Drosophila melanogaster: one gene and its partners. The protein of the gene in region 2 purifies or fractionates together with the protein of the main gene of each other region. This does not show direct contact. Each region holds a gene or a part of one and is shown on either strand. Other genes may lie near its edges. The genes, in order: mei-38, CG16863 and Rab8.

Region 1 (8,494 bases), on a different chromosome or scaffold from region 2:
GGGTCACTAGGGTTCGGAAATGATAGTGATGTGGTTGCAAAATCCTCGTGACTCTCAAACCGACTTCACTAGGATTGTGTTGGCTATGTTAGGTGAGTCCCATGAAAAGGATCACAGGATGATTAGCCGCTTGAACTTACCAGCCGCTTTTCGCGGAAGTCGATGCCCACAGTGGAGATGAACTGGGTGTGGAACCGGCCATCCGTGTACTGGTAGAGGAGACAGGTCTTTCCCACGCCGGAGTCGCCCAGGACGAGGAACTTGAGCAGGTAATCGTAGTCGATGTTGGCGCCCGTCATAATGGCCGTTCGTAGCAGCGCGTTTGGAACGTTCAGGACCGCAGACGCATCCCGTCCGCCTGGAAGCAGGGAAACGAATGAGCTGCCCGTTCCTGTACAGCTCTCCCAAGCAATGGTTGTCCCCCAGCTACCAGCTTCCTGCCTCCTGCCCCTGCTGTCTATCCACTCGCCACTCTTCCTCCTCTTTTGTGTAAGACCGGGCTTAGGCTGACAGGAGCGGAGGCGGGGCACTCTAATCGGGAGGCATCTTCGTGAGCGTGGCTCCCACCCACTGCCAGCTGCCACCCCCATAATGCGACCCACTTACCCACACCACACCATCTCGCTGCACCGTGGCAAATATTTGAAACTCATTAAATCCCGATTTATTGATTTTCTGTCCCGTTCCGGGCGAAATTCGGGCGTGTGGAGTGGGTTCGATGGGTCGCGATGGCGGGGAATCCCTTTCGCCCGCTTCCGCATCAATGGACAAGCCGATCGAGATTTCGAGCATTCCCGCTGGAAGCGGCGCCCAACGGTATGTCGCTCGGCAGAACAGAGAGAGATGACAAGGGGCAGTAGAAAAGTGGAAAGTGGCTGGAGCATAGGAAGGCTAACCCCGCCCCTGCCCCGCTAATTAGACCAACGGCCAACGCTCAAAATGACGCGATGCGGTGGGCAGGAGGAGAGAACGTGCAGCATCTCTGCACCCTGGCTTCCTTCCCGCGCTAAGCGGATTACGGTCGCTGCCTGCGGTTGAAGTGGTTGCTAGACAACGGGGCCTCCGTCACTGGAAAGTAACAACAGAGATCGAAGTAATAACTGGGACCGCGCTCCCAGTGCGCCTTCTGCGCATCCCGAATCCGGCAGCACTCAATGGAATCCTGCCTGCTGATGTCTTGTAATCTAATTTCCTCCCGTTTCCGGCAGCTGTCTCACGTCTCCGGCCCCTATTTCCGAATCCGCTGCCTCGCAGAGGGAGCACGCATAGGTTACAGTCGTCTGCTGCTCGCCAAGTCTCCCAGGGGGAGATGGTAGGCGGGTGGACAGTGGTTGGTGGGCAAATCGAATTAGCATGCACGCACAGCCATAGCCATCCCACTCGGCTGACGGTTAATTTTAAACCTTTATTGATTCGCAAGATCTTGCGGGGCTCAGGTGGGCCTAGCGACGGAAATAGCCTCCCGTTTCCGGGGGTGGTGTTCAACATGAGGGGGGTGGGCTAAGGCGAGTGATGGCAATTAGGAGCAAACCACAAGGCCTCCACTCAAGGACGTCCTCCCAGCTTCCTTCCGCCCTTTCAGCGCGTCCAGCTGCACTAGGACAAGGACGGCTTCCAATTAAAGCTAGACCGCAGTGCCGTAATTAGCTGCAGCTGCCGCGTTTCTGCCGAGCGATTAAACATAGCCACCGCCACCTTAGCCCCTTAGTTCCTCAGCTCACCTGTTCACCGGATCCGGCTAATTGCAGAGGCTCAGGCTCAGGAGGCGCGGCACGCATTTCTGCTCCGACGCCCGCCGTCGACTTTGGCGCCCAAGGCGGCTTCTTTCGGCACGCCGCACGCCACTCGTCACTCCAAGGATCTGGAAGGAATCTGCGATTCAGCTGACTGGACCAGACTGACTGGGCGGGCAACCGTTATTTTTAGCGCGCGCAATTCGTCCGCGCGGGGGAAGGGACCTTCAACCACCTTGCAGAGGTTTGCTAAACGAAAACAAGCGACCCACGAGGACTTCGAAAACTCCGAGGCTGTGCGGATGCTGCGGATGCAACGCAGTGGATCCTCTGGGCGGTGCGCTGCCCGACCTGTTGCCATGCGCTGCCCAGCACAGACTACAGGGCTCGTTGGCCGCCAACAGGCAGTCCCTTTTCCGAGGCTCAGCTTTCAGCCAAAGCTTGCGCCAGCTTTCAAGCGCTTCCGCGCGCGACAGGTGCGCCGCACAGGTGTCCTTTCCCACGGGAACGTGGTTATTTCGTGAGTACTTCGAAGCACTCTCGAGACATAATCCCTCGGGCAACTTTAAGAATGGAACGGCTTTGGACGGAGCTTCCGCGGGACGGCGCCTAAGCTTTGCTCTCCGACGAAGGCTTCAAAGTCAGGAGTGTATCCCGTGCTCGAATAGTCCACTGTTTCTATAATCCTAGTGTTCAGCAATCAAATTTCGTGTTACTAAATAACACTGAGCCACATTTTTCAGTAAATTGAAGTTTGCGCGCGCAGAGCTATCGATAAGTATCGCGAGATAAACCAGTGCTGTAAAGCGCCGCCATTTAATTGCACTTATCGAGTTTCTTGCGGGCTCGGGATTTGCTTTGTTTTTTTTTTTTGAATCGGTGCGGAAACTTCTCGGTTGAGGTTTTATTCTCTATTTACTGGCCATGGACAACGCAAGCTCAACTTTTGGCCAGTCGGACTTCGACTGGGACGCCATCAACGTGGGTGACTACCAGTTGGATCACTCCCAGAACTTTTTCGGTGCGTATCCAGGCCACCGCGTCCAAGCTGAGAAAACGCGCCATTTTTGGCCGACCATTGCTGACCATTTCCCGCATTTCCCAGCAGCACGGGCCAACAAGGAGAACAACAGGAGCCTCAGCAATGTTAACCCCCTCCTGCTGTGCACCACTCCGCAGAAGATCGGCCGGGAACAGCGCGATGGTGACTTCGATGGCAAGCTGATTAGTGCTGGGGATCTCAAGAAGGAGTCCCCCAAAGACACGACAGAGGCGTCCAAGGATGCACTCACTATCAAGCCCAAAGTTGAGCCCCACGATGTGCCAGAACTCAAGTTGAAAACAGAGCTCCAGGAGCTGGCTCAAGTGTCCCCACTTGACAACGGCCCAGAGCCGCAGGACGACATCAAACAAATTGTTCCGCTCAACTGGGGCAAGGATGGGGACGATGATGAGAAGCACATGACGGAGGCCGATCAGCACTTGGTCCACCAGGAACGTCCTCCCGGCGTCGGGGCCAAGCTCCGCCTGGAGTGGTCACCCCCACGCCACCGCGAGCACGAGGGAGCCGGCGCCTCTGCCACATCCGCCGCCCCCAAGGCATACCAGTTCAAGGACGTGTACGAGAGCAAGCGGCAGCAGGCGATGCGCAAGCGCTCCGAGGAGGAAAGCAAGGCGCGCCAGTTCCACAGCCGACCCATGCCCAACTTTAAGGCCATGCACAAGCGCATGAACGAGCTGGCAGTCATCCACAAAATCACCGTCCCGCGCACGCCCGAGACGCTCAAGCACAGCCAGTCGAACGTGGAGCGGCGTCGCGACGACGATCCGGCCGACCAGGCGCGACTGCATCCGGCTGGTACCCGCTCCAGACCCTTCCACCTGCGCAGCGAGCAGCGCGTGCGCGACCGACGCGAGTTCGACGCCGCCGTGCAGGTCAGCCTGGAGCAGAAGAAGAAGGAGGTAAAGACTAAATCTAGTAGCCCTTAAGCATTGGTTCCGAACACAAGCAGATAATTTTCGAGCTCAGGGCCGGAATTTCATTTATGTGATTTATGTGATGTGTGCTGCTGGTTTAGGTGGTTTCTTAGCAACTGACCGTGTGTTTAGTCATTAACTTGAAGAGGCTTAGTTGTTCCTACATTTTTTCAGAATATATTGTTTAATCCAATGTAATAAACCATTTGCAAATGACCCCCCTTCGAGGGCTCAGTGTAAGCACCGTTCGTTAAGTTCAAAAAGTGCGTTCCCACCGCCACGGGGAGTTTTCCAACACCAGCGCGCCGGCATTTAGCTGCGATCCGCGAGCGGCCACACTGCGCTCGAAAAATAACGTATTTCTCCAAGTATTGCTGCCAGCCCCAAAACCTCTCCTGTGCCCAAACACGAGACCCAAATTCAAGGGCCGTACGGCAACTATCCAAGAACGCCCCAGTTCTCCAGTGCAGCAGCCCCAGGTCGGGAATCCGACGCTCGACAAACAATAACACGGGCGGTGGGCAGAGCGAGACGGAGCGAGCTCAGTTTGTTTTTGTTGCTGTGGTGTGAGTGAGTCATGACGTTTCGGACGGCGTAGAAAAGCCAGTTACAGTCAACCGTCGAACATTGCATAAAGCGGGAGCTGTTGCCCTGCATTCCGGAACCAGGATCCGCCAGTCGCCCCACTTCCTCACCGTTTGCCAGGACCTGCAACAGCTGCGCCCAGTCCGCACACACCGAAGCACGCACGTACACACACACACACATTTCTGGAGGAGCTGTGGCACCGAGTGTCACACCATACACACACGGCGCGAGCGCACGCACACCACTGCAGCAGGCAGTCTGTCGTCACAGTTGGCTACATTTCGACTCGGATTCGGACTCGGATCGAGCTAGCTGAGCAGCAACTTTCGCCGCACTCGAATCGAAGTTAAGCCCAAACCAAAAGCAAAAGCCAAACCCAAGCCGAGCCCAAGCGCCTATTATCGTCATGGTGGACCGTCTGGTCAACTCGGAGGCCAACACGCGCCGCATCGCCTCCGTGGAGAACTGCTTCGGGAGCTCGGGCGTGCCGCTGGCGATGCAAGGTCGCGTTCTGGTGGGCGAGGGCGTGCTGACCAAGATGTGTCGCAAGCGGCCCAAGTCGCGCCAGTTCTTCCTGTTCAACGACATCCTGGTGTACGGAAACATAGTGATTGGCAAGAAGAAGTACAACAAGCAGCATATCATGCCGCTGGAGGAGGTCTCGCTGGAATCGATTGCCGACAACCAGACGTACAGAAACGGCTGGTACATCCGCACCACCACCAAGTCGTTTGTGGTGTTTGCGGCCACCAGCACCGAGAAGCAGGAGTGGATGGCTCACATCAACAAGTGCGTGGAGGACCTGCTGCGCAAGAGCGGCAAGAAGCCGGTGGAGAACCACGCCGCCGTTTGGGTGCCCGACACCGACGCCAGCGTCTGCATGCACTGCAAGAAGACGCAGTTTACTTTCATCCAGCGCCGGCATCACTGCCGCAACTGCGGCGCTGTTGTCTGCGCCGGCTGCTCGGCCAAGAAGTTCCTGCTTCCGCAGCAGAGCACCAAGGCGTTGCGCGTCTGTGACGCCTGCTACGAGCGCTTGAAGCACGTGCCAAGTTCCCTTGGCTCTGGCGAGGACTCGGCAGCGGCTACCGGCGCTGCCTCCGGCAACAAGCTCAACACAACAGCCGGCGACAGCTCCAACGATGAGGACTCCGACGAGGAGACTGCCTCCCCTGGTGGCGAGTCGCACGATGAGCCGCGCTTCTACGGGGACAACAGCGTGCTATCCGCCGTCGAAGACTCCTCGACGATAACCTCGCCCTCCTCCGCCACCACTGGCAGCTTGGAGGCTCCCCAGGTGACACCGAGCGTCCAAAGCTCCCCGGCTGCCGTTGCGACGACGGGCAGCCACTGTTGAACGGACCACATAGCGAATGATTATGATTATGGTAGATATCGCAGAAAAGCTCTCACCCACCCACAACGCATATCCCGATACCTTGTAGACACGAATCGCGGTGTGACGAAGTCTCCTTGAACATGCCCAACATAGCCACTGTACATTTGAACAACCGACGATTCCCGTCATCTTCATTGCAAGACCTTCGGACCCAATTTCGGATCTTTCATTATACCTATGCGTTAGATAAAGGACGTGCAAAATTTGAGGCTTATCGAGTTCTAAGTTGGGAGAGTCTAGAATAGAACGTTGCTCGTGACTGCGACCTTGCAGTGGCTCCGTTTTGGTTTTTTATTCTTCTCGTTTTACATTTTCCGCGAATTCCGCTGAGCGCGATAGCCTTATCAGCCAAGTGGCTGCGACGGTTGCTGCTGCTCTATTATTCGTTGGCAAACAAACGGTCTGATGATGTGAGATGTTTCCCATATCTGCTCACAAGCAGCCCAGCCCTGCCCTACCCAGCCCAGTCCAAATGCCGGCTTATCGTTCTGAAACTCCCGTCGTGACTCAGCGGTACAGAGCAGCCGATAGGGTTAGATGGCCATTGAGAGCCCATTTTTGCCTCCGGGCGTTGAATGAGTCAGGCGGACAGTCATCCATGCATCTCTCCGAGTGGCCAGAGACAAAGGTTGCGTACGCCAGGTTCAGTCGCAATTAGAATGCACTACAGCAGCAATCAACACATACTCATCACCTTTCCACTGCACCAGACCGCCGACGACCAATGTGTACATTTCAATGCTAATCCGTGTTCCTTTCCGCCTTTGCCATTGCAGCAAGACGAACAACGGAAGCGATGCGAGCAGGAGGAGATTAAGGAGCTGCGCAAGATGACGGCATTCAAGGCTCGTCCGAATCCATTTAAATAGTGCTCGACGGAACCAATCGACTACCAAACGTTTGATAGCCCTGTCCAAATTTAAATGAAGTGAAGTCGATGCTACACATAATCGTGTTTACCGATGCATAGTTTTACCAGATTAACACAATTTTTGTCTCTTAACATTAACATTACTTTTACGCATATATCGTTCCCGTTTTTGGCGGATAAGAACCACTAAAATCGTATGTTTGGCGAGAGGATAAACTATATGGATATGTATACAACATAAGCAATTTGCAATTGCGATCATTAACTGTTTTCTATTTGTACAAAGCCCAAAAAACAATAAATTAATACTGTAAATTGAACAAGACTGCCATTCGTATGCATGGATAATGCATATGTATGTACATACATATGTACATATGTTCATACATATGTACATATGTTCATACATATGTACATATGTTCATACATATATCGTCCGCCCTTCTCTGCAGCCAGAATGGAATGCAACAGCGAGAGCTGCCTGTCTCCCTCTAATCTGGGCGGGGATCCGTAAGAAAATTTGTCTCATTTCTTTTGAATGGTTCCTATTTTCTCAGAATTTCTGGCACTCACAGTAGAGCCCAGCTATGGAAATGCGTTAGATCGCTTCGATACTAGTAAATATATCGTGCATAATAAGGTGGAAGCACGTGATATTGGGCTACGCTATGCAGAAAAAAAAAACGAGGTGTTTAGATATAAACAGCTGTTTATTTATGCCGTTGAAAAGGCTCCTGACAAAACGCTGTGCTGATGTAGTGCCATCTGTGGCCCGGACGATTCCTTAGAACTGGCCGTCGCTACCCCAGGAGGTCTTGACGGTGTCCTCGTTCCAGTCCTCCACTCCGCCAACGGTCTCGGCGGCAACCTCATCGGCCCAGTTGGTGGTCTCCTCGACCGGGTGGTCGACGGCCTCCTCAATCTTGGGTGGCGGCAACAGCTCCTTGGCGGCGGCCTCCTCCTTCTCGGCCTCCTCGGGATCGCGGTAGAAGAACAGATCGACGACTACGGGCCACTCGACGCTGCGAGAGATGGTGCCACGCAGGCGGAGCACTTCGCGGGCCAACAGCCACCACATCAGACCGATAGAGTGGGCCGACTTGTTGTTGCACGGAATGGCAATGTCGATGTAGCGCAGAGGCGAGTCGGTGTTCGTGAAGGCAATCACGGGGATGTTCACGTAGCTGGCCTCCATGATGGGCTGGTGATCGGTGTTGGGGTCGGTCACCACCAGCAGACGCGGCTCGCGGAAAGCGGGCTGGATCTGGTTGGTGAAGGCACCGGGCGTGAAGCGGCCGGCGATCGGAGTGGTGTCGGTGTACTTGGCGAACTTCAGCACCGCGCGCTGGCCGATCGGACGCGACGAGATGACGAAGATCTGCAAAATAAGTGTGTATTAGAATATGGTGTATCTATCAGAGACTGGGGGCAAACACTCCGAGGCGTTGAGGCGTGGCTGGTCAGCAGTGAAGTTGAAATCATTGAATTTCATACCCGAAAGATTAGTAATAAACTCATCACGCTAGCCACGCCGCACTGGTATGCCATGGAATTCTGCACTTGTACTCACGTCCGAGGGGTTATCGATGGCCACGATGGCGCGGGCCGCCAGCTGCAGCTTCTCCCAGGTCTTGCCCAGGTTGAGGATGTTGACGCCATCAGCGCGGCGCTTGTACACGTACTGCTCCATCTGGAAGTTGACGTTCTCGGAACCCAGATGGGTGGTGGCCACCAACATCTTGGTGATGTCGTCCTCCTTGAGGGACAGAATATCTAAGCCTCCCGACATGTTAACGTGGAAAGAGTTACGGACCTGTGAACGAGACAGGCATATGGTTAGTGGACATAACCTCAAAGAAGGGGCTCCACGTGCGACTTTTCGCCGGTGTCGCGCCTGCCGCCAGAGGCGTCTGCACATAGAGGCAG
Region 2 (6,516 bases):
TTTCGGGAATATGCCAATGGATTCAAACAGCTGCAGACCATGTCGCGATTTACTTATTGGTTTGCGCATTTTACTTTTGATATGCTGATCCTGATCTTCGTCTGCGTTGCCCTGTTCAGTCTGCAATCCTTGATGATGCCCTCGGAGCTGTATACAACGGCTGAACTTAAGGTCATTGTGTTAAGCATATTTTTCTACGGCTGCAGCTACCTGCCCATTCTATACGCCCTGGGAAACAACTTTAAGTCGATATCCACGATATCTACTTATTTGCTTTTGATGCTGATTGTGTCCGGTAATATTATTTGATTTTATAACCAGTGACAACAATTAGAAAAACTATAAAACCCATTTTCTTTTAGCCATTGCCCCACTTATCACCTCCAGCAATGCGGCGGCCATGAAACTGCATGAGACCAAGATCGCCTTCCTCTGCTTCCTACCGGACTTCAATCTTAATCACCAGTTTCGCATCATCAATGAAAACTTTATAACCCGACGCCATCCGGCACTTATAAAGGGTCTTATCAGCCAGGACACCTTCTTTGCCTATGCCACCGCCGTGGGTGTTATGGTCATGGCATTCTTTACCATAGTCCTGGAACACAAGTATCTGCGCAGACGAATTCATGATGGCATCTGGGAATGGGCATTCCAAAGAAAGAAATACAATTCGACAGGCACCCTTCCCAGTACTCCGATCTCAGAAATTGATGATTGTGCAAGGGAGGAAAAACGGGTTACCGATCTGATAAAAGACCCATTGAACGACCATTCACTGATTGTGCACAATCTTCGCAAGCGATACGGCGATAAGCTGGCTGTGGACGGAGTCAGCTTTGCGGCTGCCCAGGGTGAATGCTTTGGTCTGTTGGGTGTTAACGGAGCGGGTAAGACAAGTACCTTTCAGATGATAGCGGCCAATTTGCCTCTAGATGGTGGCACTATCCGCATCAAAGGCGCAGACATTCGCGAGCATGAGTTGAAATACCGGGAATACTTTGGCTACTGCCCTCAGTACGATGCACTAAATAAATTCATGACCGCCGAGCAGTGCCTATACTACATGGCATTGCTGCGCGGCCTGAGCCGCCGAAGGACCGATGGACCAGCCAGCTGCAAGGAGCACGTGAAGTACTGGCTAGAGAAGATGCATTTGACCAAATATCAAAAGGTGCAAGTGCGCCACTATTCGGGCGGCACGAAACGCAAGCTTCTGGCGGCAATGGCCATGATTGGTGCACCCGCACTGGTGCTCCTGGACGAACCTACCACCGGTGTGGATCCCATCTCGAGACGATTTCTTTGGCAATGCATCAAGGATTTCCAGGGAAAGGATCGAACAGTGGTGCTCACATCACATAGGTAAGCCCAAAAAAGTATATTTCCTTTTCAAACAGATTCAAAAGTGTACACATTCTCTACAAACAGCATGGACGAGTGCGAAGAGCTGTGCAATCGCTTGGCCATCATGGCGCACGGAAAGTTCAAGTGTCTGAACAATATTTGCGCCCTTAAGCGATTAAGCGGCTTCACGATAAAACTGAAAATGAAGGCGGACACCGAAACGGAGATGAATGTGTCCACGATCACTGGCACGTTGAAGTCAGAGTTTCCTGGTCTGGAACTGCGCGAGAGCCATGCCGGCACACTCACCTACTTTGTTAGCACGCAGGAGAGTGTGGTCCTTTGGTCAAGTGTTTTCAAGATAGCTGAGGAATATCTGGGCGATCGCTTAAGCGCTCTCGTGGCCGACTATTCGGTGAACGAGTGCACACTCGAGGATATTTTCCTCAAGTTCGAGAGAGAGGCGAAATCACAATCGACGTCACGTCAAACCTCCGTGCAACGCAGGCCGGAATGCAGCTACGTTTAGGCCAGATAGTCGGAGTGTCGGAGTATCAAGTAAGATAAGCAGAAGACGGGCGTCGTACATTTCATTATTTCCCTCAAATATGGAACTTTTATGAATCTCTATCCGGTGGGAATAATCTACTTAATGTATTTAGGGACTAATAAAACCAAACAAACACCTTCGACATGGGTATATAAAACTAAAATATAAAAGTAAGATATAACTAGTACGACAAATAAATAATATTTTTTATTTATATTATAATAAATATTTCTACATAATATTTGATGTGCATTGATTATGGGATTAAGGTAAATTATCATAATTCAAAAGAAGTTAAAAACAGTTTTATACCCTTCTATTGGTAGAGGAACAGGTATCTGATTGACGGGGAACTCGACTATAGCATTCTCCCGTTTTTTTTTTTTTTTAATTTAAAATCTCCCGCCTTAGTATTTTTAAAATACCACTCATAATAATACCAAAAGGAACTTTAAACGATCTATATTTGGAATTTAACGATTCATTCAAGAATTAAAAGTAATACATAATGTAATTTTTTTATCCAGCTTGACTATTGAATATTTAATTATGAGAAAAATAAATATAAAACTATTATTACTTGGACGACTTAGGCGCTAATGGAAATGTCAAATTCTCAAAAAATCTCCCACTTGGCCACACTAATGTAGCGTTATTTACAAAATATTCATTTTTTTCGTCGTTAATTTATCGTTTATGCCGAATATGTCGCGTAGCAGAATATGGAAGTTCTACGACAAGTTGGATCGGAATTCCGCGCAGTGCCAGCTCTGCGAGAAAGTAATCAAGACAAGCGGCAACACGTCCAATCTGATGAAGCACATGAAGACCCATCCGCAGATGTAGGAAAGGCTCCTGAGTTCAAAAACCTTTCACAATGAAAATTTTCTTGAAGAAACCTCTTCGACGACGATGTGGTGGTGGAGCGGGGCATATACAAGCGGCGGGAGCAGGATGACAAGCTGCGATTCCGGAAGGTTGTTCCCTTCAAGGAAGAGAGCTCTGATTTCCACAGCGAGCTGTTGTTCAAGGCTGCCAAGGATGCGAGCGGCATTATCGAGCTGGATGATCAAGGAATGATCAAGGCGGCTGCTGAGGATCGCATCTCAACAAAGAGCGTCGGGTATGCGTGGGTCTCTCCGGAGGCCACAGTGTCCCGAACGGAGACGGTTGGCGGCGACGATATCATCGAATTCGAACCCAAGGAGGAGCTCGATGAGTCGGAGAAAAGCCCACTTCCCCAAATTCATGCTGTACCATTTGCCGGCCATGAGTAAGTTTTAATCAAAAGATAGAAGGTAGAAGATAGATACAATTGTAGTAAACTTCATTTATTACCCAGCAACTTAAAAATGGAAGAACCTCTGCCGAGCGAGAGTCCGTTTCACAAGGACATTGCCTTCTTTGTCTGCCGTGACCGCCAGTCATTGCAGATTGTGCAGGGCGAGGGATTCCAGCACCTAGTGAAAGTACTGTGCCCCACCTACAGACCACCGAGTGCGGCGAAACTGGAGGCCATTATCTGCAGGGAGTCGGAAGCGCAGAGGTCCAAGCTCTGCCAGCAGTTGGCCGACATCTCGACACTCAGCCTAAGTTGCTCGGTGCACACGAATGCGGAGAGTCGAAGCTGGATGGAGCTGGTGGCCCACTTTCACGAGGGGCGGCAACGAATCTCCCGAACTCTTTCTGTGCTGCGCCTTCCCGATCTTTTCACCTCCAACGATCTGGTGGATCGCATGGACCAAGTGTGTCAGCGCTTCGACATTCCAAAGTCAAGGATCTGCTGCGTGTCGACAAGGAGCAGTCAACTACTGGAGGATGCGGTGACATCGTTCATGGGCGCTCATCATCATGTTCCCTGCTTCGCAGACCAATTGAATTCTATTTTAGAGGAGGTGGTGCAGCGCCCAGAAATACGTCATTTGCGCGACAAGGTGCGTTCCCATGTGCAGTCCACATTGCAGCTGAATCCCCAACTGGATTCCATACACCGACCGATTAGTGTGTACAATATGCTAGACTTATACCTGAAACAGACTCTCGTTCAAGAGCCGCTGCCGCTTTCGACATCGGAGGTGGATTTGTGTCAGCAATTGCTGGACGTGCTGAGGCCGTTGACCAGCTCCATGCGTGAGCTAAGTCGAACACCATATCCGGCGGCCAGCACAGCCCTGCCCATTGCCCAAACTCTGATCAACGAACTGAAGCAGGAGAAGAGTGCGGAACACATGGTTGCCAGGGAAATACGCTTGTTCCTGGTTCAGCAGCTGGAGGAGATCTTCGAACGAATGGAGCGCAACTTGCACCTGGCATTGGCAAGTCTGCTGGACCCACGCTTTCGAAATATTCCCTTCCGGAGTGGGGCCCTGGTGGCCCAGTACATGACTCAACTCTATGACATGATGCAGGCGCATGTGGACAGCGGGGAGCAAGCTGTTGCAAAGCATCCGGAGAACCGTGATCACTACGATATCTGGGCGGCATTCAAATCCTTTTCGCATGGGAAGCAAAGGATTGTAAACGGCAGCAACGGTCCCGAGGCGGACGATGAGATAGCCAGATACTTTTGCGCCGGCATGAGTACCCTGCGAGCCGATCCCTTTCAGCTCTGGGAGGAACTGGCCGAAGCTCACCCCTTCCTGCACAACGTAGCACAGAGGTACCTGCACGTTCCGGCCACCGCAGAGCCGGCGGATCGGCTATTTACGGCCGAAGGAGCGGCGGTTGCGGCGCAGTACGCCAGACTAATCGAAAACAACATGGAAAACATACTCTTCATGGCGGAAATTCCAACGAAGGAGTGGCAGTTATAGCGTAGTCCATAATCAATCCAAACCTAAGTTGAGCACTGTGTTTTTGTACCCCTTTTATTAACTAATTTATTAATTTACATTTACAATAATGCGAACTATAAAATACATTTTTTAACTTTTTAGCTTCTCAAGCGTTAAGGAACTATTTTTGTATTAGAAAATTAGAGGTAGGGAACGAATAACGAACACATATTCATTAAAGATTTGTAAGTACTATTTACTACACATATTTACACAAATAATTTATTTTAAATATAACTTTATTGTTTACTTTTTTCTTTTGTTATCACAAATCGCCGTTACAAATTCAAATAACAATAACACCAGCAAATTAGCAAAAATACCAAAACCGAGAGAATACCAAAAACTTCCCAACACTGCCGACAGCTCAGTAATTTTCGCTTACACGGTCACACTTCTGATGACGTTTTTTCGTATTTTGAAGGGAATGTAAATGTGGAAAAACTGAGAGATTTGCAACATGCAAACATCCACGACACGCTAAAAACTCACCGAGTGCCGCCACACGACAATCCAACCGAGAGGAGCACTCCGCACAGCTGGCGGAGCACCCAGAAGGCAGCAGGCGAAAGTTGCGTGGCTGTTGTTTCCGGAAGCGGTGGGCAGAGGGAAATCCGAAGCAGTGGTAGTAGGGAAAGAGGCATCGAAACCCACCCAGCGAAGGCGACCTTGGGAGTGGCAGCGGCCCAATATGCACAACAACTCCACAAAAACCAAGGAAATGTTCATCGTGCGTGCTCTAGAAAAGATCCTTGCCGATAAGGACATACGGCGCTCCCATCACTCGCAGCTGAAGAAGTCCTGCGATTCGGCGCTGGAGCAGATTAAGGCGGAGCTAATCAGTGCCGGCCAGATCGCAGAGGGCAATGAGCTGCCCTGTGCCGCACTCCCGCTGCCCAAGAATGATGCAGCGAGCATCATAAATGCGGAGACCTACTTTCTCCCCTTCGAGCTTGCCTGCAAGAGCCGCTCGCCCAGGATCGTGGTCACCGCACTGGACTGCCTGCAGAAACTCATTGCCTATGGCCATTTGACAGGATCCATTCAGGACTCGGCCAATCCGGGTCACCTGCTCATCGACCGTATCGTTGTGACCATATATGGCTGCTTCAGTGGTCCCCAGACGGACGAGGCCGTCCAACTGCAGATAATAAAGGCTCTGCTCACGGTGGTCACCTCGCAGCATGTGGAAATCCATGAATTCACACTGCTGCAAGCTGTGCGCACCTGCTACGACATCTATTTGTCCAGCAAGAACCTGGTCAATCAGACCACAGCACGCGCTACGCTCACCCAAATGTTGAACGTGATATTTGCCCGCATGGAGAATCAAGTGTACGAGCTACCACCTCCCAATTCCAATCCCACCAACGGCAGCATCCACTCGGAGGATTGCAATGGCTCGGGAGAGGAGTCGCTGCGGGATTCCGACGAAGTAATTGCCTCGGAACTGCTGGCGGAGATCATATCAGGTGCGTGGCACTCGGTGGAGAAAGTTTGATAAACAGATGTTTCTTGTTAAGCTGAAGTTGCTTATTATTCTACTTAACTCGCTTAGATTTAACTATTTTTCAATATTTTCAAGAAACGTAATTAAGTTCATAAAATATTTCTTATCGGATGGGAAAAAATTGTATGAATCATTTACAGTACGATACGATAAGGTCCAACATAAAATTCCACTCCTCCAAACCGTCTAATTATCATTGCGCGAAAATAATGACAGTTACGTTTTTCAGCTGCCTACAATGAGGCGATGAAGGATCAGGAATCGGTCGGTGAGCC
Region 3 (7,940 bases), on a different chromosome or scaffold from region 2:
TAACCGACGTGCTGTCAATAACAAACTGATTATTGGGAACACATGTTCCAGTATGGAAACCCAATTCAAATACATTCGCTCTAATTGTTTAATAATATACATTATAATAATATCAATAAACATTATTTCCGAGCTCATTTACCAATTCCATTACATATGGTATTAGATTCGTTGTTACCTAATTAACCATTATCAGTAATTGATTTTTCACTAATTACCTGAAGTGCAAAAAGGTTACCCACAAACCAATAGAAGGTAACATGAATATTATGTTCTTTAACGATAATTATTAATTATATTAATTATATTTTAGGACTGTTTTCATATGATCAACAAATAAAAAAAATTTAACTAATATTTCTTGCCCTAAAACGATAAATTATATATAAGTTAAAAAATGAAGAGGGTATCCCGAAGTCCGCCACACAAAGTTAATTTTATTTGTTTAATAATTGTGAATCATTTCCCGTGGAATCAAAGCAGCATAACATACGACAGTTTAAAATCGTTTAGCACTTAAGTCAGAAAATGATAAGAAACGAAACAAAATGTTCTTGTTAATATCGTTGCGCATTCTCAATAGTATGCTAATTCATGTTACTTCATCTTAAATGTACTACATGTTCCCTATTTAACCATTTTCATTCATGCCCCGTTCATAACGTTATAATTCATAACGTTGATTATTTAATGTCGGAAATAAAAGGCCACAAGAAGCGCAATTAAATTGACAATAAATAAACCATTTTAATTTCAACGATCAGGTTGAGAACCCAGAGCCAACTGATAACCGCCAAACCGGGCGTGAAAATACATTCCCAAGTTGATTGGGCAATATTGCAGGCGAATTATGCGACGTCACGGAAACGGCATTTTATTGAATGTTAACTGCAACTCGAGTCTGCGATTATTGACCACCGCGCACATACTTGCATGCTAGTCCTCACTTCCCCCTTGGTTTTACTGGAACCGGTTGGAGTGGCTAATAAGAAACACACGCACCCGGTCGCACGCCCCACACCAGTGATGGTGGGTGGTGGAGGGGTGGTCCGGAGTGCTGGTGTTCCGGGGGAGTGAGCCTTATCAGCGACACTCGTTTTCTTAACTCTGGCTGGGCCGCCTGGCCACAAATCAGCAACCATAACCATAACAACACCAGCATTTAGATGATTGCCAGCGCAAAGGGAAGGCGGAATAAAGTAAGTGAAAAGCACTAAGGGAAGCTAAACGTCATTGAAAGTGGGCCGAAAATGGGTATACAAGTTGGCTTAAATAATCTTAACTCTTCTGAATGATTACCAATTTTATTGCTGGTTCATTATTATAAAATATTTGGAGAAGAGTGAACATTCCGATTTTCATACTTTGTAAATAAATTTCTATTTTTTTGGCTTATCAGCTTGTTTTAAACACAGTAATTCCTTTTCCTATCTGAACATATTCCACTTAAAGAGGAATTTTAAGAAATAAGGAAATGACATGCAGAATTAAAAGCCCAATGAATTATTTATTTTAAAACATTTTTCTTATGGATATTCCAATTGGAAAATCGAAATCCAAAATGCTCCCCTTTCATTATAATTTCATTTCATTATAAACAAAAAAATTTTAAAGTAGGCTTCTTTATAAAATACTTCAACAGAAGACCTTTGCCCATAGAGTGCGAATTGAAATGAACACTGGAATGACATGCTGAACTTGAAATGAATCGTATTCGCAGCGACATCCGCATCCGCGCATTCCAGTCACCCTAAGCGTGAACTGCACTCCACTGGCTGTCTAACTGTTTCTCATGTGCCTTCGCTGCTTTGTTGTCTCTCACCCACACAGCGCACACCTCCAACTGCCACCCCATTCGGTTAGCTTTTCTATTGTGACGTCATTGGCGGCGGAGACGCAAATACCCATGCACATGAAAACACATGCAATAAAGAAGCCACACTGGAATGGCAGTAGATAATTGCAAGAGATAGGATTAAGAGGAGCATGAGGATGGTGGTGGCGGAAGTCAGTGGTGATTCCCGTTGGTCAGAAGACGTGGGCGCAACAACACAATGGAATCGATTGCACCTGCTTGTACGTTGTTGTTGCTTTCGCAGGGGGTTCTGTTTTCTTGATTGGCAGTGACCTATTTTCTGCGGCTGGGAGACGGCCCCACAAGTAACCAGCCGGAGGAGACTCACCGCGTTTCACCGAATCCTCGTAGCTGACGCTATTGGAGTGCTTGGACTCCTTGGTGCCCATGGTCCAGAATTTCTTGTTTGCGGGGGTGCAACTCAATGGATTCTGGGGCTCCGCCTGCTGCTGCGTCTGGCGACGCCACTTTTCACATTTGTTCAACTTCACTTCACAGTCGCGGGCGGAACAATAGGCTGCTGGCGAGGATCAGGTGCAGGATCACGACGATATATGTGTATGAATATATAATATACACCTGTCTTTTTGACTCTTGTCTTGTGCTATTTTCCTCTGTTTCTTTCTATATTCGCGCACTTTCCAACACTAACTGGAAACAGCTGTTTTCCCCATCGTACGATAAGCTATCGATAGACGACGGCGCGCCAGTGTTGCGCAGCAACGAATTATCGAAACTCATATTTTTTGTACGGGCGTAATTAGAAAGCAGTAATTAACTTCATTTCCACGTAATTTTCACAACAAACCAACGTAGACTCGCACCGCGTAGCGAGCGCCTTTGCATTTGCCCACCGGAAAAGCCGCCGCACGAAATCCGAAACTCGGGCACAGACAACAAAAAGGTCTTAAATCTACGTCGCCATTTTTGACACGGCTCCGAAATCGAAAACACAACACACACACCCAAGAGAAAAAGAGCTGCGCTGCGGAGAGAAGGAAAAAACTATACGTTTTCGATTCGAGTCGATTCAATTAGATTGTGGATTAGTGCGGTTACGTCTGGGTATAGTGTATATGTACATACATACGCTAAACGGCACGCATGGGGCATAATCGTGATTAGTGTTATTAGCCAAGAATCGGAGAGGAAGTCAGTCAGTTGATTAAGGAGACGACGACGTGTACAGAGCATCATCACCCTTAACCCGTACCCTAACCCCCAGCTAAGCACTATTATCGGGCCAGATACTGTGATCCTACCGCAAAAGCACACAAAATGGCCAAAACCTACGACTATCTGTTCAAACTGCTCCTGATCGGTGACTCCGGAGTGGGCAAGACCTGCATCCTCTTCCGATTCTCTGAGGACGCCTTCAACACAACGTTTATATCCACAATAGGTGAGTGTCATCATCCGCGTTTACCGTGTCTTCCGATTCTTAATTTTTTTTTTTTTTTGGTTATTAATTATAACACCTTCGTTCGCATGAACTCATTCGCAATTGGAAATCCGAGCTTCTGGCCCAGTGACTCATTAAATGCCTCTTTTCTTTTTTATTTCCTGCCCCATCCGGGCGCATTTGTCATAAATATTGTTGTTTCCATGGGAGGGGCACTCCCACCATGTTTGATTTCTCGCGCTTATTAAGATTTTCCCGTAAGGAATATATCCGGATGCCTTATCTCGCCCTGAGATTCACACCCGCATAGGAAAGCGATCAGAAATGAGTACTCAGTCCGAGTACCCATAGTCTTTGTACTTTCGCTGCTCTTATCGCCCCAGAAGCCGGATTGTTCCGATGCGAGACTTGACCGTCGCACGCCAAATCGGGAATGCCCTATTATATACCCAGCAGGCCCATGCCCAGTCTCAGAGGGAATTCAAGTAGTTGTTCCCGTACGAGTACAGTGAAGCCTTTCTACCAAACACAGCAAATACTTTTTAATAAATTCGAATCATAATCAGTACAACTTCAAGTGGCAGTTAAATCAGATTATGCTAGTAATTTTAAGCTTATTAAAATAATAATCACAATAATATTCGACATGCACACTGTACTTTCCCGTACTTGTAAACACAAAAGTAGAGCGATTCCCATTTCTGCTCGTGGCTAATAATTGTTTATTTTCGTTTTTGGCACGTTTTCATCGCGACACTTCCAATTTTGGGGCATTTACTTAACGACATTGTTTAAATTAATTGCGTGGTTTGTGGATTTCGGTTCTCTTCGTCTCTTATTTTAGCTGCGATGTCATGGGTTCCGACCAAACAGGTTTAGCCTCTTGCCAAATTATTTAAATTAATTAGCAAACGTACATGTGTGTATATGCTCATCTGTTTTCTCTTTTCAGGTATCGATTTTAAAATTAGAACAATTGAATTAGATAACAAGAAGATTAAGCTGCAGATATGGTAAGTACTAGGCGATTCATCTGTATTCTCTAATTACCTATATCTCCATTCATTTTCCAGGGACACTGCCGGCCAGGAGCGTTTTCGCACAATCACCACGGCCTATTACAGAGGTGCCATGGGCATCATGCTGGTATATGACATAACCCAAGAAAAGTCCTTCGAGAACATCAAAAACTGGATCAGGAATATCGAGGAAAATGCGTCCGCCGATGTCGAGAAAATGCTGCTGGGAAACAAGTGCGAATTGACCGATAAGCGACAGGTATGGAAAAAAGAAATTGGTGATTTCGCTGGCTATTCCTCCAAGTTCGTTTATTTGTTTGTTCCATAAAAGTTATCTACAAACATTTTATTTATATATTTCAAATTCAGTTAGTGTATAATCATTTGTTATTAAATCCAATAAGGGATAGACAATGATTTGGCGCAATATTCTTTTCAGCTTCATAAAGCTATCTGCCCTTAAGGCCGATAATTAAACAATTTTCCACCCGTTGTAGGTTTCAAAAGAGCGCGGCGAACAATTGGCCATCGAGTATGGCATCAAGTTCATGGAGACCTCCGCGAAGGCCAGCATTAACGTGGAAGAAGCCTTCCTCACCCTAGCCAGTGATATCAAAGCGAAAACGGAAAAGCGAATGGTGAGTGTGCGGGTGGCGAGACTCGGACAAAGCGTTTTTTTTACTGTGGCTAACCATTTACATCCTTTGTGTGCGCAGGAGGCGAACAACCCACCCAAGGGCGGCCATCAGCTGAAACCGATGGACAGTCGGACGAAGGACAGTTGGTTGTCCAGGTGCAGTCTGCTTTGACGTGGCAACGTGCGCTCGGCACTGAAGCGGCATGGTGGCAACGACTACACGGTAGTGGTTTATGGTGGTAACTACGAGGTAGTAGTTTTCTTAACTCCTGTTAGGTTCGAGTACAAGCGGGACCCCGACAAGCGGACATTAACTGACATCTAAATCAACCTTAAACATCAATCAGCAGCCGGCTCCCTTTAACCGAATAAGCGCGATAATGGAATAGAACACAAATTGCATTATGAAACAGTTATTAAATAAAGTATATGACGACAGCGTGTACGAAATATACCTAGGCATGATAATATGTATACATATATACGTATATAACTCAAGTTTAAAGATAAAACGATCCAGCGATAGCGAAAATCGAAGAGCAGCCAATCCAACCCGCCCGCGTCCTTCTCGAAGAGGTTTTAGTATTTACGGAATTATGATTTTCTCTAGCAGCCATGGTTGTCGATTTGTAAATTATTAATTGTAAAACAAATATATTGTATGTACTATGTATGCATATGATTAGTTTACCTGTCCTTGTTTTGCTCATTGCTTGTATGTACTTTCGATCGATTCAGAAACCCTTTTGCCATTACGTTGGGAATACGACGGAGGAGGTCCAGACGCACAATGACCCAAAAGTGTAAAACAGCCCAATCCGCCCCGCACCTCCCCCTACCCGGTCCTAACTTTATATAATATAATGTGGTAGTATCGCACAGATCGAGGGTGCTTATTATATTCTTCTTAATCTTCACACACATTTCATTTGGTTAGTTCGTACTCTATTTATTTTGTTCTTTGCCGCACACCACATGACTTTGTCAATAAAACGTTACACCTAATATTAAAACATTAACGAAGATTTGCAGATTTGCGAGATATCACCAATTAAAGGTAGTCTATCGATGAGAATCGATCGGCAGCAATAAACAATTATGAACACATACACAGCGCAGTAATATAAATAATGTGAAATTAAATGATAACTAATTGCATATTTGATATTAATTAATTACTTGTAATATTAATGATTAAACGTATACAATTTTATAAAAATAAATCATGTGCAAAACCAAAAACTTTTTATTTGAAAAGATTTTATGGCTCGTTTCGTAGCGCTGAGCTTCTGTCATAACAGAGACAGGCGAGTTCGACGCGTCGGACCCAAAGTCGCGTAGACAGATTGTGCTGTGGAGCATTGTAGAGTATGGGCTGAGGACTATCAACTTATACAAAATGTCCATGCTGCAATGCACTGGGTTTCCCAGGTACACTTGAGAGGACCTTAAGAAATCCAATACCAGTTTGTGGGTAAGTCTATTCGCTCAGGGTTCGATCAGGGATTACTCTTAAATGATCTGGATCATGTCCAATGACCCAAGTCGGATGGAGAGGATTATGAATATGAATCATAGCTTAATCGTTGACATACCGACGAGACATCATGTTGCATTATGGGGCATCATAAATTTATATATCTGTGTGGAAAATTAAAGAAAAGTCCCGTAAAGTTCTTATTATATGGTGGTAAAAGAGTTCGAAGCTAAGCTAATTAAAAATTGTAAAAAGAGCCCGTGGGAATTAAACATCCCTCACATGGCCAGACCACTGCACCCTCCGCCTCTTCATCTTCTTCAAAAATCTAAAACTAAACTAAAAACTAACTAATCTTACTACTTCCTATCAAAATGCTAGAGGCTTGCGTAGCAAACTAACCAAATTGTATTGTAATAGCCTTTCCTTTGCATCCCGTATAATAGTGTTCAGAGACTTGTTTAAAGCCGGGGATTTAACTCCGAAGTCTTCCCACGTACATATGTACACATTATGACCGTCCCTCCAAATGGGAACGGGTTAGATCTACCCTCCCGTTGGAAGAGTTACTTTTTGACGAATCCCATAACTCAGAAATCATATGCGTAAAACTGTCATTTTCCGACAGATCAGTTTATATTATGTGCTCGTATATTCCGCTATCTTCTGAATTCCCAGAATATCTGAATACTTTGTCCGCTATCCAATCCATCTCAAATAAACTGTCTGACAGGGACCAATTGGTAGTTCTAGATGATTTTAATATACCTGGCATAATGTGGTCCCAGAAGAACAATCGAATATTCTTCTCCCTTTAGCACAACATGACTTTATGCTCGACTTATCGTTGTTGCAAGTTAATTATATTCGAAACTCTCTTGGTCGACTGTTGGATCTATGTCTTGTAACAAGTCCTGAAAGTGTGTTTCTGTCCAGGGTAGCACATCTTACTCAACCTGAAGATCCATATCATCCTACTTTCGAGGTGACAATCGACACCGTACCGTATTAAAAGTAAAATCGGAGAAGTCAACCAAGCGAATTCACTGTTTTCGCAAGGCAAACAATTTTATAGCTGGCTTTAATTGGTCCGATCCTTACTCTTGCAACATAATGACGGATGCCATTAATATGTTTTATACCGCAATTAAATCGTTTTTGACTCTTGTGTTCCGATGTACTATCCGGCAATCCTTAAACCTCCTTTGTTTAATAAAGAGTTGAAACACCTAAGAAATGTAAAGTCCAGACTTTATACAAAATTTAAAAATACGGTTCTAAGTCCATCCTTTCTAAATATTTAAGCGCTCGCTTAAACTTTACCGTGCTTAATGCTAAGTGCTACAGGAATTATTTAAGCCGTTGTAAGTTCCAGTTCGCACAGGATCCGAAACAGTTTTATAATTTCGTTAACACCAAGCGAAAAACCATTTCTTACCCTTCTTCGCTATTTTTTGAAAACACTACGGTAACATCGGATCAGGCAATAGCCGATCTATTCGCCAAGTTTTTTCAAACAACATATTCAACTTCACCTCATTCCGAACAGC

What was found.
Region 1: the proteins of CG16863 (region 2) and mei-38 purify together in Drosophila melanogaster (affinity purification with mass spectrometry, with the first as the bait; one large-scale study listed by BioGRID). This does not show direct contact.
Region 3: the proteins of CG16863 (region 2) and Rab8 purify together in Drosophila melanogaster (affinity purification with mass spectrometry, with the first as the bait; one large-scale study listed by BioGRID). This does not show direct contact.

Annotation. Positions count from the first base shown.
Region 1 is NC_004354.4:1,474,535-1,483,028, forward strand, and holds mei-38 (meiotic 38), read left to right. Parts: upstream 1-2,528; 5' UTR 2,529-2,657; coding exon 2,658-2,754; intron 2,755-2,838; coding exon of another isoform or gene 2,839-2,841; coding exon 2,842-3,695; coding exon of another isoform or gene 3,696-3,722; exon of another isoform or gene 3,723-3,948; intron 3,949-4,017; exon of another isoform or gene 4,018-4,704; coding exon of another isoform or gene 4,705-5,655; exon of another isoform or gene 5,656-6,325; intron 6,326-6,473; coding exon 6,474-6,566; 3' UTR 6,567-6,886; downstream 6,887-8,494. Other genes in the region: Rab27, read right to left, coding at 141-260, 1,722-1,778; rush hour, read left to right, coding at 4,705-5,655; sta (stubarista), read right to left, coding at 7,353-7,946, 8,139-8,357.
Region 2 is NT_033779.5:13,788,426-13,794,941, forward strand, and holds CG16863 (uncharacterized protein), read left to right. Parts: upstream 1-2,533; 5' UTR 2,534-2,602; coding exon 2,603-2,739; exon of another isoform or gene 2,740-2,792; coding exon 2,793-3,170; intron 3,171-3,239; coding exon 3,240-4,710; 3' UTR 4,711-4,839; downstream 4,840-6,516. Other genes in the region: Eato (engulfment ABC transporter in the ovary), read left to right, coding at 1-295, 363-1,365, 1,432-1,876; Sec71 (secretory 71), read left to right, coding at 5,423-6,203, 6,471-6,516.
Region 3 is NT_037436.4:19,865,698-19,873,637, reverse strand, and holds Rab8 (Rab8), read left to right. Parts: upstream 1-2,559; 5' UTR 2,560-3,133; coding exon 3,134-3,257; intron 3,258-4,079; exon of another isoform or gene 4,080-4,111; coding exon of another isoform or gene 4,112-4,130; intron 4,131-4,209; coding exon 4,210-4,270; intron 4,271-4,330; coding exon 4,331-4,535; intron 4,536-4,773; coding exon 4,774-4,914; intron 4,915-4,992; coding exon 4,993-5,085; 3' UTR 5,086-6,150; downstream 6,151-7,940. Other genes in the region: Usp32 (ubiquitin specific protease 32), read right to left, coding at 2,184-2,244.